Drosophila melanogaster: one gene and its partner. The gene in region 2 interacts genetically with the main gene of each other region. Each region holds a gene or a part of one and is shown on either strand. Other genes may lie near its edges.

What was found.
Region 1: of Nost (region 2) and Cip4, changing one enhances a phenotype caused by changing the other (phenotypic enhancement), as found in Drosophila melanogaster (one study listed by BioGRID).

What each region holds. Positions count from the first base shown.
Region 1 is NT_037436.4:4,358,823-4,367,029, reverse strand, and holds the start of Cip4 (Cdc42-interacting protein 4), read left to right. Parts: upstream 1-3,055; 5' UTR 3,056-3,167; coding exon 3,168-3,282; intron 3,283-3,902; coding exon 3,903-4,003; intron 4,004-8,207. Other genes in the region: CG11342 (uncharacterized protein), read left to right, coding at 1-332; CG33514 (uncharacterized protein), read right to left, coding at 540-1,170, 1,230-1,534; mRpS6 (mitochondrial ribosomal protein S6), read right to left, coding at 1,820-2,218, 2,285-2,329.
Region 2 is NC_004354.4:9,027,254-9,035,371, forward strand, and holds the start of Nost (nostrin), read left to right. Parts: upstream 1-2,951; 5' UTR 2,952-3,616; coding exon 3,617-3,643; intron 3,644-8,118.

The DNA of each region.
Region 1 (8,207 bases), on a different chromosome or scaffold from region 2:
ATAATCTCGAGAAATTTGATGCCATTTGCTGCTACTCCATTACCATGTGGATTCACTTGAATCACCATGATCAAGGCCTGCGATTCTTTCTGCAAAAGCTCTCCAATCTGGCAGAGCTCCTGGTGGTGGAACCACAGCCCTGGAAATGCTATCAGAAAGCAGAGAGACGCCTGAAAAAAGCCGGAGAGATATTCCCTCTTTTCCTGGAACTTAAGTGGCGATCTGATGTGGATCTTCAGATACAAAAGTACCTGGAAGAGTCTTTGGACCGAAGAAAGATATTCAAATCCGCACCAACTAAATGGCAGCGAAAGATCTGCTTCTACAGATGATAATAAAAGCTAAAAGGACAATGTTTATATAGGAGAAACCTAAAACTGCTGCGAAGTATCGTAGCATATTCATGTATTCCTATATTATCATTCCTACTATTGGATTTTACAATTCAACTGATGCGAATGTGTTTTCTAGCCACTAAATTGGACAACTTTTTCAACTGGCTGATAAGAAAATAAAATCTTTAAAGTTACAAACTGAAACTAGTCCACGTTGAGCTTTCTAAAGGAACCTTCTACTCCGAAAAGCCCCTCAAAATCGATTGGTTTTCCGGGACGCAGGCTCTCGTCGGTGCCGAAGTTCACATTTTCCTGGAAGAAATCGGCGTACTCGTCCAACTTCTTCTCCATGGCGGCCACGATGTCCTGCGTGGTGCCATTCTCGCCGCCGTATTCCTCGGGCAGATATTTCAGTGGAATCTGCTCCGTCAAGAGCCCCATTTTGTTGCCGTGCACAAATAGGCGAGACTGCATTTTCTTGGACATCATTGGCTTGAACATGTTGAACAGCTGCTCGAATCCGGTGATGGTGTTGATGAAATGCTGTGCCTTCAGACGCAGTGGAAGTGCCTCCTCCGAGAAGACAGTGAATTTCTTGGCCATCGACGGCGTCATCTGGAACAAGTGTGCGGCGGTGGCACCCTTCATGTCCATAATGAAAACTACTCCATTGACATTGGCGTAGTCGTCCTCCAAAATGGCAATCTCCTGCATTGCCTGGGCCACTTGCATGCACTCCAGCATTGTGTACTTCTCCACTGGCACCAATCCCATGCGCCAGATCCCGATGCGAGGTCCATTTTCATTCAGCGGAGTGGGCAGGTAGATGATGGCACTGAATTGACAGAATTGCATTGATAAATTAAATTAGTTAGCTGGCGTCAAAATCCTTACCCCGTTTGATGAATCTCCCGGAACTTGCTATCCGTGGTGTTGGTAACTCGGAAATAGTCCGGATACTTGGTCTTCAGCGTGTAGTACTTATCTAACTTGGACTTGGCCCGCTCCAAACTGTACTTGCAGCCGCGCAAGAAAGCCACCAGAAACTGATCATCCATTCGGGGATTTAGATGCGGCTGCTGCTCGATCCATGTCTTAAACGCCTGCAGATCGGCTTCGAGACGTTCGGGATCCTCCTTGAGCTGCTCCTTGGCAACTTTTTGCAGCTCTGGCGTAAGTGGACGGATTTGCGGTGACATTTCTAGGTCGTTTGCGGTCAGGAGGAAGTACTAGTGAACTGCTCGACGATTCTTGAGGCACTACCTGGACAATTTACGTTCTATTGATGGTCGATTATACGGAGCTTTATCAATTAATTGATAAGCGTCCGATTGGGCGCCATAAACCAAACAAAGACAAACATTGTGAAAAGTACTAAGATAACAGGCGCATTTCATAAGGAATGCTTCAGTTTGAATTAGCCAAAGATCGAGGAACCCACAACCGGTTTTAGCATACATAATTAACGCGTTTTATTTGGTGTTTTATTTTTGGAAGGGATAGTAGTCCAGGCCGGAGTTGTAGTTGAACTTCTTCTTTTGCTTCTTCTGGGCGGCCGCAATGATCTCCTGCACATCCTTGCGATACGCGGGTGGCAGCATCTCCTCGTGCAGCGTGCAGGGCTTCTGCTCGGGCTCCTCCACCTTGAAGATGTAGCGCCGTATGATGTCGATGTCGCGGCCAAACTCCTCCTTCAAGTCTGCGATCTTAGTGGGCGCCGTATCAAAGGCGATGGTGAAGTGGGTGCCTTCCCGGTGAACCACCCCGTGTTCGCTGACTTTGTGGGGCAGGGCGCGGGATCCCAGGTTCTCCAGCTTCCGGATAATGCCGCCCTTGTCCAGGATGGACTCGGCCGTTCGCCTAATCACGGAAATCAGTTCGGGCTGCGGGCGGTGTACAATTCTTATTTACTTTTATGTAACTGCCGGTGGATTTCATGTGCTACTCACGCGAGGCAATTGGCGGAGCACCAGTGCTAGTTCGTAAGAAGGCATTGTGACCGGTGAATTGTATGAGCTGGTAAGGAATTTAATTTCTTATATTAACGTTGTTTCTCTCAAGTTTTAATTCATTAAAAAGTTAGTAAATCTAATGTAATTGTTGACCCACCAGCTGATAGTGTTAACAGCTGATGCAAGGAAAGTACTAAAAATGATCTAGCGCCTGGCGCACATGCTTACACCTTACAGTGTGCCAAAATCTATTGCTCCAGTGAATTTAATGTTCAAATTAATATATTATATACAACAATAAGCGATGCTCTTGTTACTTTAAAAGCAATAAACAATAATAAGAAGTTTCTTCCAAGCTCAATAATAGCTTTCTTCATCTGTTTCAACGTTATGTTATTCCATAAAATTATTAGTTTTCAAGGCCACAATAATATATTTAAAAAGTCTACAATTAACGTTAAATTATAAAAAAAAATGGGGGCACGTATTAACGAAAGTTTCATATATTTTATATAATAATAATTAAACTTTACAGTTGCTCTCAATATGGGTTCATATCCCCGCTAGATGTTAAAGAGTTAGAAATTAGGTCGCCATCGGTCTCTGGTCACACTGCAAACGCAGAGGTGTGCCTATTCAAACACATTGCGGTCACACTGTGTATTGATGCCGAAGTGAAAAAACGAGCGGAAAGTTGCGAGCGGATAAAATTGTTTTTTCGCACGCCAAAAAGGAGAAACAAATGCTTGCGTTGTGTGAGTGCGGGTGTTTTAACTGTGTGCTTGTGTGTGTGTGCAAATGTCGCCCGAATTATGACGCATGCGAAAGTGCAGGCGCTAAATAAAACCCAAAATCGAAAGAAGTTGCAACTGCAAAGCAAATGCTAAAAAAAAAGTTAGCACAAATAACAAAAAAAAAAACGGTGGCAGATCTAGAAGCAGAGTGCGTGCATTCGGCAATTGCGTTTACTTGTGTGCGTGTGTGTGCGAAATTATGTAAATACAACAATAGTAGAATTCCAATTGTCCTCTCTTTCTGCTTTTCTCAATTATGAAATGCAGTTGCATCGCTCTCTATCTCTATCGCTCCCTCTCTCTCCTCACTCTCTTTGCGCATCGAAATGCCAGTGCATAGAATTTTCTTATTTTGCACTTATCACTAAACAACTCCCAAAAAAAGTGTTTAAATTCTCATTATCTATAATTTCCTTCAACTTCATTTTTCTACCTGCCGCTGCAACTGACACGTCTGCATTGCCACTCTTTTTTGTTTTTACATGCTTTCTTACCTGCCCAACCACCGAAAAAAAAAAAAACAAAAATGAAATATATCTGACTCGAATTGCTCTCTTTCATAGAAAATTAAACATCGCGCCGCGCAACGCTGAAAAAAATATAGAAAAACAAACGGAAAATGAAAACGAAAAAGCAGCCATAAAATTAATTAACCTTTGCGGGAAAATATAAAACAAAAACGAATAAAAGTTCTCATCTTTTGCTCTTCTCCCTCGCTTTCTACCTTTCTCCCTCTCTCCTCATCGTCTGTGGATTACATTATCTTCTGTGGATTATTATTATTAAAACAACAACAACAACGACGGCAACAACAAATACAGTGGCAAGCGGATCGAGCAGAAGCAGCAGCAACAACAAACTGGCCGAATCGGAAAACTCAGCGCAAAACTCCAACAACATGAGTTGGGGCACCGAGCTATGGGTGAGTTTTTCCTGGATTTAGAGGGGCTATATCTTCAGATAAGAAGTCGTATTTCATTGATAAAACAGGGGGTTCCTATAAGCAACAAATACATAGTTCTGCTTGTTTGAGGAGTATGAATGTATACCTATAGCTAAAAATCAAAACAAATTCGTAGTTTAGCTTGATCAGAATCATTAAGGTGTCCATTACCAGCTCAAAGAAGCTGGGGTCGGAAAAATCGAATTTTTGAAATTTGAAAGCTGGAATCGTTTGCCCATTTTTTGCCCATGTTTGCCCACCAATTAGTTTTTTTTGCCCACGTCCAGTTTTTGAGATATGAATTTTCGAAAAAGTTCGAAAATTTTCGAAAATCAAAAATTTCGCTTTTTTCAAATTTTTTTTTTTTAAATCGCAATAACATCGTTTGCCCACGTTTGCCCACCCTTTAGAATTTTGAAAAAATTTATACTTTAGAAAATATAAGGCTTTTAAGTTTACCTCGGTCTAATCAGAGAGTAAATCGTTTGCCCATCTCTTAAAACCAAATATTATCAACAAAAAACGTTTGCCCAACCATTATTATTAGTTTTTATCGTTTGCCCACCCTTTAAAAAACCTTTAACAAAAATTTTTTTTCGATTGCCCACACTTGAAATACAACTAATTTCGTTAGCCCACCTCTTCAAAATAAAACTTTTCAATAAAAAACGTTTTCCCACCATTTAAAAATAAATAATTTCGATTGCCCACCTTTTAAAACTAAATAATTTCGTTTGCCCATCCTTTAAAATTCATTTTTAACGTTTGCCCACCCTTTAAAATTTGTTTTTTTCGTTTGCCCACCTCTTAAAAATGGTTTTTTCGATTTTTCACCTATTAAAACTAAATTTGTACATATGTACATATGTAATAATTGTAAGATGTGGCGCCAAAAGCACAGTTACTTACAAAAGAACAGTTATTTACATATTTACATACATTTTCAATATATCCATAGTGTTAATCATTCATGAATTGTAACATCAATTTTTCTTAATCATTGTTTCATTTCATGGAAAATATTTTATATTGCAATATAATATATATGCAAAAAAATGTATGTATGTTTATCAACACTCTCCAAGCTCAAGAAAATTCTGGAATAAAATATTTTCCATGAAATGAAACAATGATTAAGAAAAATTGATGTTACAATTCATGAATGATTAACACTATGGATATATTGAAAATGTATGTAAATATGTAAATAACTGTTCTTTTGTAAGTAACTGTGCTTTTGGCGCCACATCTTACAATTATTACATATGTACATATGTACAAATTTAGTTTTAATAGGTGAAAAATCGAAAAAACCATTTTTAAGAGGTGGGCAAACGAAAAAAACAAATTTTAAAGGGTGGGCAAACGTTAAAAATGAATTTTAAAGGATGGGCAAACGAAATTATTTAGTTTTAAAAGGTGGGCAATCGAAATTATTTATTTTTAAATGGTGGGAAAACGTTTTTTATTGAAAAGTTTTATTTTGAAGAGGTGGGCTAACGAAATTAGTTGTATTTCAAGTGTGGGCAATCGAAAAAAAATTTTTGTTAAAGGTTTTTTAAAGGGTGGGCAAACGATAAAAACTAATAATAATGGTTGGGCAAACGTTTTTTGTTGATAATATTTGGTTTTAAGAGATGGGCAAACGATTTACTCTCTGATTAGACCGAGGTAAACTTAAAAGCCTTATATTTTCTAAAGTATAAATTTTTTCAAAATTCTAAAGGGTGGGCAAACGTGGGCAAACGATGTTATTGCGATTTAAAAAAAAAAAATTTGAAAAAAGCGAAATTTTTGATTTTCGAAAATTTTCGAACTTTTTCGAAAATTCATATCTCAAAAACTGGACGTGGGCAAAAAAAACTAATTGGTGGGCAAACATGGGCAAAAAATGGGCAAACGATTCCAGCTTTCAAATTTCAAAAATTCGATTTTTCCGACCCCAGCTTCTTTGAGCTTCCATTACCTCCTATATTCTTGGATATTAAAGAGGCGCTTATCTTCAGATAGGCTATATATATTGAAAGGCTCCAAACCTAAAATATAGATAGAAACGACAACATTGGTCTTATTAAGAAATTGTAAGCACTCATCAAAAATTACAAATTGCAAGCCACACAATTTTAATTAATTAAACATTTTTGTTTTGCCAAGCACTTGGTAAATGCAATTAAACTTCTCAAATATTTTACAACTACCAGAAAATAAGCTCGAAATTCCGGTTTTTTAAAACCAACTGACACATTGTTCCTGTCAGAAAACCCTACATTTTCTAATTGGATACCCAATCTCAGTGAACTTAAGCGTGTCAATTAATTATTATTTCAATGTCATCGGTTTACCCATAGGAAATCCACTCAAATGCTCGAGCAGTGAGAATTTAACAAATTGCTTCCCATAAGCCAAAGTGCAGGCAAATGTTTTAAGAACGCACGCTTAAAGCGTCCGTCTCTCTCAGCCGCTGCATTGCCGTCTCTTTCCGTCTGCCGACCAAGTTGGAACTCGAAACTTTATAAAAAAAAAAACTGGTTTTGCGGGTTTTATGTAAATTACTGCCATATGAGCACGGCCAGCAGCAGCAGCGTGCGCCTCAATTCAATATGTGCTGCACACACATATATATATGTATATTTATGTATGTATATTTTTCGGATATATCTGCTTTCTTGTTGTTTTTATTTTCCTCATAGTTTGCGTTCTGTTTCGCCAAAGACCCCACATTCCACTTCGATCCATCGGATTCCCAGTGCCGGGTCTCCACATTATTATTATTATTATTATTTATTTTTTTTTTTGTTTTTTCCGCTCTGTCTATGGGCATTCTCCGGCTCACAGCTGTTTTTTTTCTGACGCTCTTTTCATGTTTCGTTTGGGCCGAGGGCGTTGACACGCCCAGCTAAAGCTTACCTGTCTATACAGGGATTTAAAAGATACAAAAAACCATTTTAGCTTGCCTCAGCTGCCTCCTTTTTTCCGCCGTTTTAGCCCGATTTAGTTTTTGCTGATTTCAATTCAATTCGGATACTCGAATATCGATGGGCTTCACATGCCCTCCGCCTTTCGGGGGTAGTTTTCCTTCATCAGACAGCAGCAGCCAGCCGGCACACCCTCAAAATGTGCGCTGGTGTGCGTGTGCGCTCGTAGGTGTGTGCGCGTGTGTGCTTGTGTGTGTGTGTAAGCGGAAAATTCGCCTCGAATGAAGAGGAGGTGCCCCGATGTCAGGACCAAAATTGCACGTCTAGACATCGTTTTGCAATCTGTTTTGCTGGCACTTTGTGCACTTTTTTTTCCATAGTTTTTCTCGTTTTTAGTTGCAGGGATTTAGCCAGTGTCTAATGTTGGTTTTGGGCTCTGAAAAAGCTTACCAAGTGTTTGTCCAACGGATTTGCATGGGGCTCAAAACGGCTTGAAATGTGACAGAAACTAATAAAATGCAGCTGGTAGTTGGGAAAACAAAATGACAAATGTAGCACAACAACTATTTAAAGAACTTCTATCTGATTTTATACAGAACTAATTGAAAGCTGGACATATAAACTTACTTTTGAATAATAATAACCGAACTGCAGGTATAAACAATCATTCAAAACTTAATAAAAGAACAGTAGCAACAACACATTCTCAAGAATATAAACAAATTCTTCTCAGCTTTTATGGCCAATTCCACATAGCTCGACTTTTTGCTTTTTATTCTCGACTTCGCGACTTTGTTTAGTGACTCATGTTAGTGGTAGAAATCCAGTTTCTGGCGCCCCTCCGCCGATTTTCCGCCCACCACATCTTTTGCAGACTCAATCACGAAGCATTGTTAGCTTGGCTAAAATCGGTAGCCAAGCGAACATTATGCTTTAGATGGCCGAAATTGTATTTTCAATATTTGCATAATGATTCGCACGCCACACGGCGAAATACTCGATATGCCACTTAACTCAAAGAAAGTGTAACCAGCAAGATTTCGGTTAATTGAATTTGTGCATGGAAAGCGAGGCGGACAAAATTTAAAAAAAGGCAATAATATTGTACATTTATAATGCAGAAATCATAGCCTACGTCCGCGCCCCCTCCCCCTCCACCCTCCTGCTGTCCAGTTTCTTGGCCTGGCTAATAACTGCGGCGATCGAGCGCGTGGCTAAGCGGGTCAATTGTGGGGCCAGAAAAAGCCAACAAGCGCCAGTCGTCGTCG
Region 2 (8,118 bases):
GGAAATTATATTGTAACTAACTTTCAAAATTTTTAAAAAGATCTATACGAAACTACAAACCTTAATGCTCATTTTACTTTGAACATATTTATTGTAGCTTGTATATCTTGTTTAATTTCTTCATTCATGTTAAAAAGTTTACTTTTTATTTTTTTTTTTTTTATTGAAAATTGTAATATTCTTTTAAATACCCGCCCCAATGGCGATCGCAGCTGGAAATCCATATGCAGTAGAGCAGAATTGAGTAAGGAATATTTAGCAATTGACAATCTAGAGATTTTATAGCAAATGAGCCGAGCATGAAGGCCGATGAAGCGTTTGCTATCCCCCCTAAACCATTCACTATGAACCGAAACTTAAAGAAATAAAAAAAAAAACAAAACTCTGAAAACCCGATAATCAATAAGAAATTCAAAGTAAAACCAAAACGATTTGGTTAATTTTCGCAATTTGCTATATAGAAACAAAAAAAAAGCTTCAAAGTGAAATTGTAGTTGAAGGATTTAAGCGGGAAGGCGGAATAAGTTAAGTGTCACCGAGGAGAGTGCTATCTATCGATCTAGACGGACTAAATGCTAAATGGTGAAAGAAATTGATGATGATGAATTAGTAGAAAGTTAATACTGACGAGGGCTAAAATGCAGAAAATGGCTAGCCAAGTGTCACAGCTGTTCGGAGAACAACCGGGTCCAAGCCAAAACTATGGATATCCAGAATATCCACTAAAAAACACAAGGATACACCACACACACACATAGACACAGAGAAACAGGATAACACTAAATGGAAACACTTACTGCATGATGTGTACATAGGAACAACATAGATGCTATATATATATGCGAGTATATATAAAAACATATATATATATATAGACATACATATATAGTATATATTTTTTTCGAATTGTTTAAGTGCAACTTTTGAACAAAATATGGAAAAATGAAACGCAAGTCTTATGAAATCCTAGCAAGTAAGGCAAACCAAAATTGTAAAGGTCAAGATACAGAAATGGATGGAGGAACGATATACCTAAAAACAATGCCTAACTGTACGATAGTAAGCATACTATATACACATATATATATACATATATTGATAAAGTAATAAAGCGGCATAAATGTGTAAAAGTAATCTATTTATTTACACCGACAACCCTGTAAATACACAAATTCTGTGCAATTTTCTATCGACTCCCGCAAAACCCCGCGTTTTAATTCAATCCTCGCCCAAATCGAAACTTTGAACAGACAACGACTTTGGATTCTCCCTTCCACCTGGATATACACTATATATACATACATATATATATACATACATACATTTAATTATTAACTTACGCAAGTCTGAAAGTATTTCTATCGAAGAGTTCTAAACTGCTTAACTGTAAAGTGTACATACATATACCGAATTACAAACACTCACAGATCCTATAAACTATATTTATAGATGTAAGAAAAAGCACACTATTGATAACCATCCCCATCACTGTATGTATATGCCTATTTAATATATATATATATATATATATATATATCTACTTTTTTTGAATTAGTCACTAAGCATAGACAACATGAATTACTAAGTACGATATGCACTGCAAGCACTGAGGAATTTGATTCAATTTTACTTAAGACAAACGAAAAGAGAAATTGAAATAGCATTTAGCAAACCTAACGGAAAATCAAAAAAAAAAAAACAGAATTAAATAAGAGAATCTCCAATTTCTGGGATAATAATTACAAATTTAATATTAATTTTTCGAGCTACATCGGATGAGAAATACCGACGAAAAAAAAAAACTGTATTCGCTTGTGGCAATTGTGTGGGAAAGTCGAGAACGTTTAGCATCTGGATTGGCTATGCAGCATTCGTATGTTATATACTTAGAAACCCGAAAACCACAGATACACACACACACCCACGAATATTAAATAGATGTACAATAGTTATATAGACTCATTCGCATCGATCCTTTAAGCCATAGTCTATCCTGTTAAGCTCTCAAACAAAATTGTAATTTTCGGAACCGCAAAAAACGAACCCCAAACGCTCAGCTACGAGTTTCTGTTTAAAATCCAAGTGCAACTTTCAAAGAATTGTAAAAAAAAAAAAAATATCAATAACACTTTACGCTAGCGAATCCCAACAATATTTGGACAAACGATCGAAATCATCCACAAAATTGCTTATAATATGAATTTTCTGACTCTCTCCTAAGGGAAAATAAAAATTTTTTTTGGTATTTCAAACTCAACAACATTGCGTTTTTCTTTTATGGCATAGTTTTGGGCTTTCTCACCTACAAGTAAAGTCAAATTCAGATGAGTCACGGCTTGTAAGGTAACTAAATAAGTTATTAGAATATTGTAATCACAGCATTTAGACGGAAATCGAAATAAGTCATAAGGGTAAGTTCGAAAGATGCAAATTTATGCATCTGCATTCCATAACTTTGAAGTCATCGTAAGCCAAGCTTAAACGAGCTTTAAAACGTACACAAAGCTTGTCCAATTGGCTGCAACTTTTTTTTAACAATAAATAAATTTTTAAAAATTAAATCTTTTTATCTAAAATTGTCTGAATGTCAGCTGACTTCAATCAGTTGAATATATGTTCTTTATGCATTTTCATTTCATATTTTTCTTTATCATATTCTATTCACCGAGTGGAAGATTTCCCTGCAGGTTTGTTGTTTTTTTTTTTAGCCACATAAGTCAGTAAATCAGCCCACTGTACCCACTGTGCCGCTCCACAAAGAGCGTTCAGCGTTGAGCGGAGAGCGTTTAGAAAGCGCCAGCGACCGGCGATTGCAATTGCCACCGCTCACGGAGAGCGGCGAGCGGCGTTTGCGATTGCGATTGCCATTGGGATTGGGATTTGTTGTAGCGTGGATCGCGGAGTCGGAGTCAAAAGCTAAAAGCCAGATTCAGTTGGCGGCGCAGACTCGACTCGTTTAGTTCGCCGTTTCGTAGAAGAGCGACGAGAGCGCATGCGGCTTTTCCAGCGCGGTTTTTCCACCAAAACTTCGGCGACCTGTGTACTATTATTTATATTTTTATTACATTTTTTTTTATTGTTTTTTCTTTCTACCTGCGAACGCTTTGCTCGCCTTGAACTGGAGTGCTTCGTTTTTGAGTAGTGCATCTCTGCCTTTTGCTGGCGAGTGCTACAATTGTCGCACGTAATCGTGCTGGCAGTTACGCCTCAGAAAGCAGCCAAAAAAAAAAGAAAAAAAAACGCAGATACAAGATACAAAAGTATCTCGAACACATGCGTTACGCTCAGCTGACTCGTCGTGTGTGTGAGTGTATCGTAGTGTCGTTGTGTGTGTGTGCTAACAAATTGGTTAGATAAATTAAACAAAAACTGTGAAATTCGCGAATCAAAAAAAAAAAAAAAACAAAAGTAAAATAAAAGTTACACAAACGAAATACGCGAAGGAAAAGCGACGAGCTGAAACTGAAAGCAAACAATCAGCCGGGCTGACCAGTAGTAAATGCTTTAAACTTCAATTATAAAATTTAAATTGAAAAAAATAAAAAAAACACATATAGTTCACAATACCGCATCATAATATCCTACCCGCATCCTAACCCCCGCCGCTGGCCAAAATATGTCACAATTCCGCGATAATTCATGGGTGAGTTGCGATCGAGTTCAGTTCGGTTTGGCTTGAGATTTGGCACTAATTACCGACTAACTACTGCACACGTATCCACAGTGATACTCGCACTCTATCCTGCACTCAAAACTAATCCAAATTGCACAATTATCCAACACAATTTCTCTCCCTATCCTCATTTGTCCATTGCCCAACGCCCCCTCTCGACATCTTCTTAATTGGTCCAAATCGTTAATTAACCTGTGTGGCCATCTGTAAACCGATTGGCCAATTGGCACCATGCATCTCTCGGCCTGACCCGATTTTTTTAAATTTCGCAGCTCGCCAAGTGCCGATCCATCGATTGGTGGAATTGCACTGGCAATCAAAGTTGATAATTAGGGGAATTTTGACGATTTCTTCAATCATTTTGATGTTTAGTATTTGAGATACATTCACTAGTTCTTTGATGGCTTATTACCTTAAACTGCTTTTGAACTTTAAGAAAGTTACAAATATTCGTTTTAACTTACTATAACTTTATAAGTTTAATGAACAGAAAATATAGAACTTTCCACATTTATAGACAAGCAATTATAATATCATTTTCGATATAAAAAACATTATTATTAGGGGTGTTTTTTTTCGAGTGCATTTGCATTTGTGCCGACTGGCAATTGACTTGGAACTGAGAATTTTGACAGCTTCCGAAGCTTCGCATGCAGCGAATTACCTTGGCTTTATCAGCGGAATAACGGTGTCGAGGTCACTCGAAATAACCTAATCAAATTGGTTGGTTTTTTTAAATTTTAATTTTTTATTTTTTTTTAATAGGAGTGCGTCGTTCGCTTTGGCGAACGAAAGTCGAACAGTTTTTGAATAAATTAGTGCGATGCAAAACACGCAGGTTAAGCGGGTCAAACGGCAATGTTGATAGGCATGGGATGAAATTTATAGATCGACTTATTCGAAGTGCTGTGCAACCCGTTTATCTCGAACGATTTATCTGCGAAATATCTGGCCAAGATGGTAAAAAAAAAAAACAAAAAAAACTACTGCGGCAAGTGGTATTGCAAGATATGCAAAATTGTGGTTAAGTAAAGTAGTAAATTATCAATACTTTGTATTTAGAGATATGAATTCACTACTTAAGATACTTTTTTTTCGATTTAGTTTCTCTATATGTTTGCTGACTTTCGAATTAAGCCGCAATTGCTTTGCATTTTTTTTATCTCTACTTGTGTCAAAGAGAAAAACACACACACCTACATTTACCGAGAAATTTCCCAACTTAATTTCTACATGCTATCTAGATCAAACATCATTTCCACACCTCGAGCGCCCTTTTTCTACAGCAATTGCATGATTTGAAGGTCGACGGAGCTTTCTTTTGTTTCTTTTGGAGTTAAAAAAAAAAAAAAACCGGTGAAACAAACAGTTAGGATTGCACTCAGCGAAAAGAGTTATCTAAATCCATAACTTGTTGATAAGAAGATAGTGGTTGTATTGTAGTAAAAAATAATCATATAAAAACTTGGTACATTTAGGCATGGTGAACTTTTGCACCACAGCAATTTCGCGTAGAATCGCATTCTTTTTTTTTAGAAGCCTTTGTTTCGCTTCGCTGTATTTTTGTTGTTTATGAATGTGAATGCGTTATCGTCGTATCTGCGTAACTGTAATCGCATTATGATCCATTAAAATGCGCCAGCTTTTTTGGCAGTTTTTTTTTTTGTGATAAGGTCTGCGGACACCCACCACCTAAGGCGCTCCCTCGTCTGGCAGCAAAAAAATGAAAATAAAAAATATCATAAAACCAATCAAAATCCAGTAAAATAAGAGAAAAACCAGTTGGCCTGGCCCAAGTCGATTGCGCAAATGTCGTGACTGACGTCGCGCCAACGATTATCATCTTCTTCTGGCTAAGATTGAGATTCGGACTGGGATTGGGATTGGGATTTGGGACTTGGGATGCTGCACCTGCACATCCAAAGTCTGGCGGCTGAAGTCTGCTTCCTGGTGGCAGCTTCAAGTTCAATTACGGCAGATTGTCGTGAAGGCATTGGCCATGGATTCACAACCATATCGATATACACAACCACAACCATATTCACATCCACATCCACATCCACATGTCCATGTTGGTCATCAGCAACTTTCACTCACCGGCTAAATGACGATGACGATGTGTGCCTCCTGCACATTTTGTCATCGTTTTTCATGTGGGAAAATCTCTCGCCTCTGCAAAAGATCCAAAGAAAAAAAGACCTAAACGATGGGGAAGTCGTGTGGAGGCTCGCTTTTATTTTTCCTTCTTTTTTATTCATGGAAGCTGCGCTTTTGGGCAGACATTGCAAAATAATTTCCACAACAAGTTGGGAAGGCCGTCGACGACAATGAACTTTTAATTACCCCAAAGACTCGTTTCGCAAAAAAAATAAAAACACATGGAGAAAAGTAAAGGGGGAGCACAAACCTCATTCAAATGAGGTTTGCGGAAGAAAAAGAAAAGAAATTTTCAAAGGAGGAAAAGTTACTTAGCTCTCCGTGATCATATGCAATTTAATGCCTGCCCAATTTGCTGCGGAACAATCGGGTCTTTGTTTTTTTATGAGCAAAACCCTCCATTTCCCCAGCAGCAGATTAGATTTCAATTGAAGATTTGCAGATTGGCTTCCCTCGTTGATTTTCGTGGGATTGCCAGCCGAAAACTGGCTAGCCAAATTATGAATAAGTGTGCTGTAAATACGATTTCTGGCTAATACCAAAGCGGATTACAGTGCAATGATTCGATTTTTGCCGGCAATTGCAAATTTTTGTTGTACTTTCTGTGCCTTTTATGCCTTCGGGCCAATTTTTCCAACCAACATTTTACATATGCATAGGCCGGTAAATAGTAAAACCACAAAAAAAAACGCATTTAATATAAAATGTTGGAAAAAGTGGTCAAAAAAATTTGACAATTTTGAATGGCAATCAATTGGAAATTAAATCGAAATCGAAAAATCATCAAAACTACTTTTTCCAAAATTTCGCTATTTACTAAAGGAAGTTTTATCACAACTTGACTAAAAATGCTCATATAGATAAAAGAATAAGTTTTTTAATTAGCTTTTTACCACCGCCAACGATTCCTATCACTTTTTGACTGATTTCGGTAAAATAATTTTTGAATCAATTTTTGCCTTTTTTTGTAAGGGGTAACATCATCAAAATTTGCAAAAAATGACACAAAAATGTAATTTCCATTTTTGAACACAGTTTGATTGGAAATTTAATTACGAGCTCAACGAGGTATGACATTCCATATTCAGACAATTGTTTTTAAAGTTGTGGCCAAAAAACGAATAATTTTATGGCAAAAAATGTACATTTCGCCTAATGCCAAAATACTGAAGATATATTGTAACCGAAAACCAGGAAAACTCCCTTAAATTATCGCTTGAATGATTATTCAATCACACGAAAATATTTGTACACGCATCTTTAACGAAGCAATATAAAATTACCAACTATCTGTGAAGTATAATTAGCTAGAATTAAACGAAAGAAAGTTCAAAGTACCGTGCAAAGATTTCTTTTAATGTTTATTCGGCAGCCATAAAAGCCAAAAAAAAAAAAAAAGAAAAAACTAAGCTTTTGCTGGCTTATGTAAGTGAGATTTAGTTGGCAAGAGTTAAACAAATTTACGAAGTACCTTGTGCACATGAAAAGATACGTAGATACATATTTTGATTGTTACCGCTGACCAAACGCAGAAATTGCCGGCGAAAAAAGGAAATTTTGCGACAATTAAACAGTGAAAGTCGCTTAAAATGGATCGTTGTGGCATTAGTTATTACCCCCGACTTGTTATTATTGCTACCATATTTTTCTGTTTTTTTTTCTGTTTTTTTTTTCTGCTGCTAAGTTGGTGATATGACAGATTTAATAGAAAAAAGTTGAGAAATATGGCCAGAAAGATGGATGACAGAGATGATGATAAACTCGGGCGCGCAAACTGTGTTCAAAATAATCATCACTTTTCGCTCTCCATTCGCCTTTGTTTGCCACTCTGAATTTTTAATTATATTTGTACAGATTTTACTGCTGCTTTTTCCACACAAAACGAGGAGTATAGTGCACCACACAGAGCTGAGAAAACTGAGGCTAAACATTTTTAACTAAAGCCTCTGAAAAGGTTGGGCTCTGACCTTGAATAGAGTGGATTTTGGTTTGAAGATCGGGCCGAAAGTCTATTTGCTATCAGCCAAGTCACGTTCAATGCTAACCCACATTGTACAAATGCACATATGTGGGCCAACATTAACGGTAATTGATTTTCAACTCAGACTATGACCGATTCGAGAAGCCAAAGAAAACTCAGCGACGAAAAAATACGAAATACATACATACAAAAAGAAATATATATATATGTATATATAGAAAAAACGCAGCAAAACAGAAGAGAAACACACATCGAAATTGGTAACAAAAACGTGCTCAGACTTTGGTTTCGGCCTAGGGGATCTGGC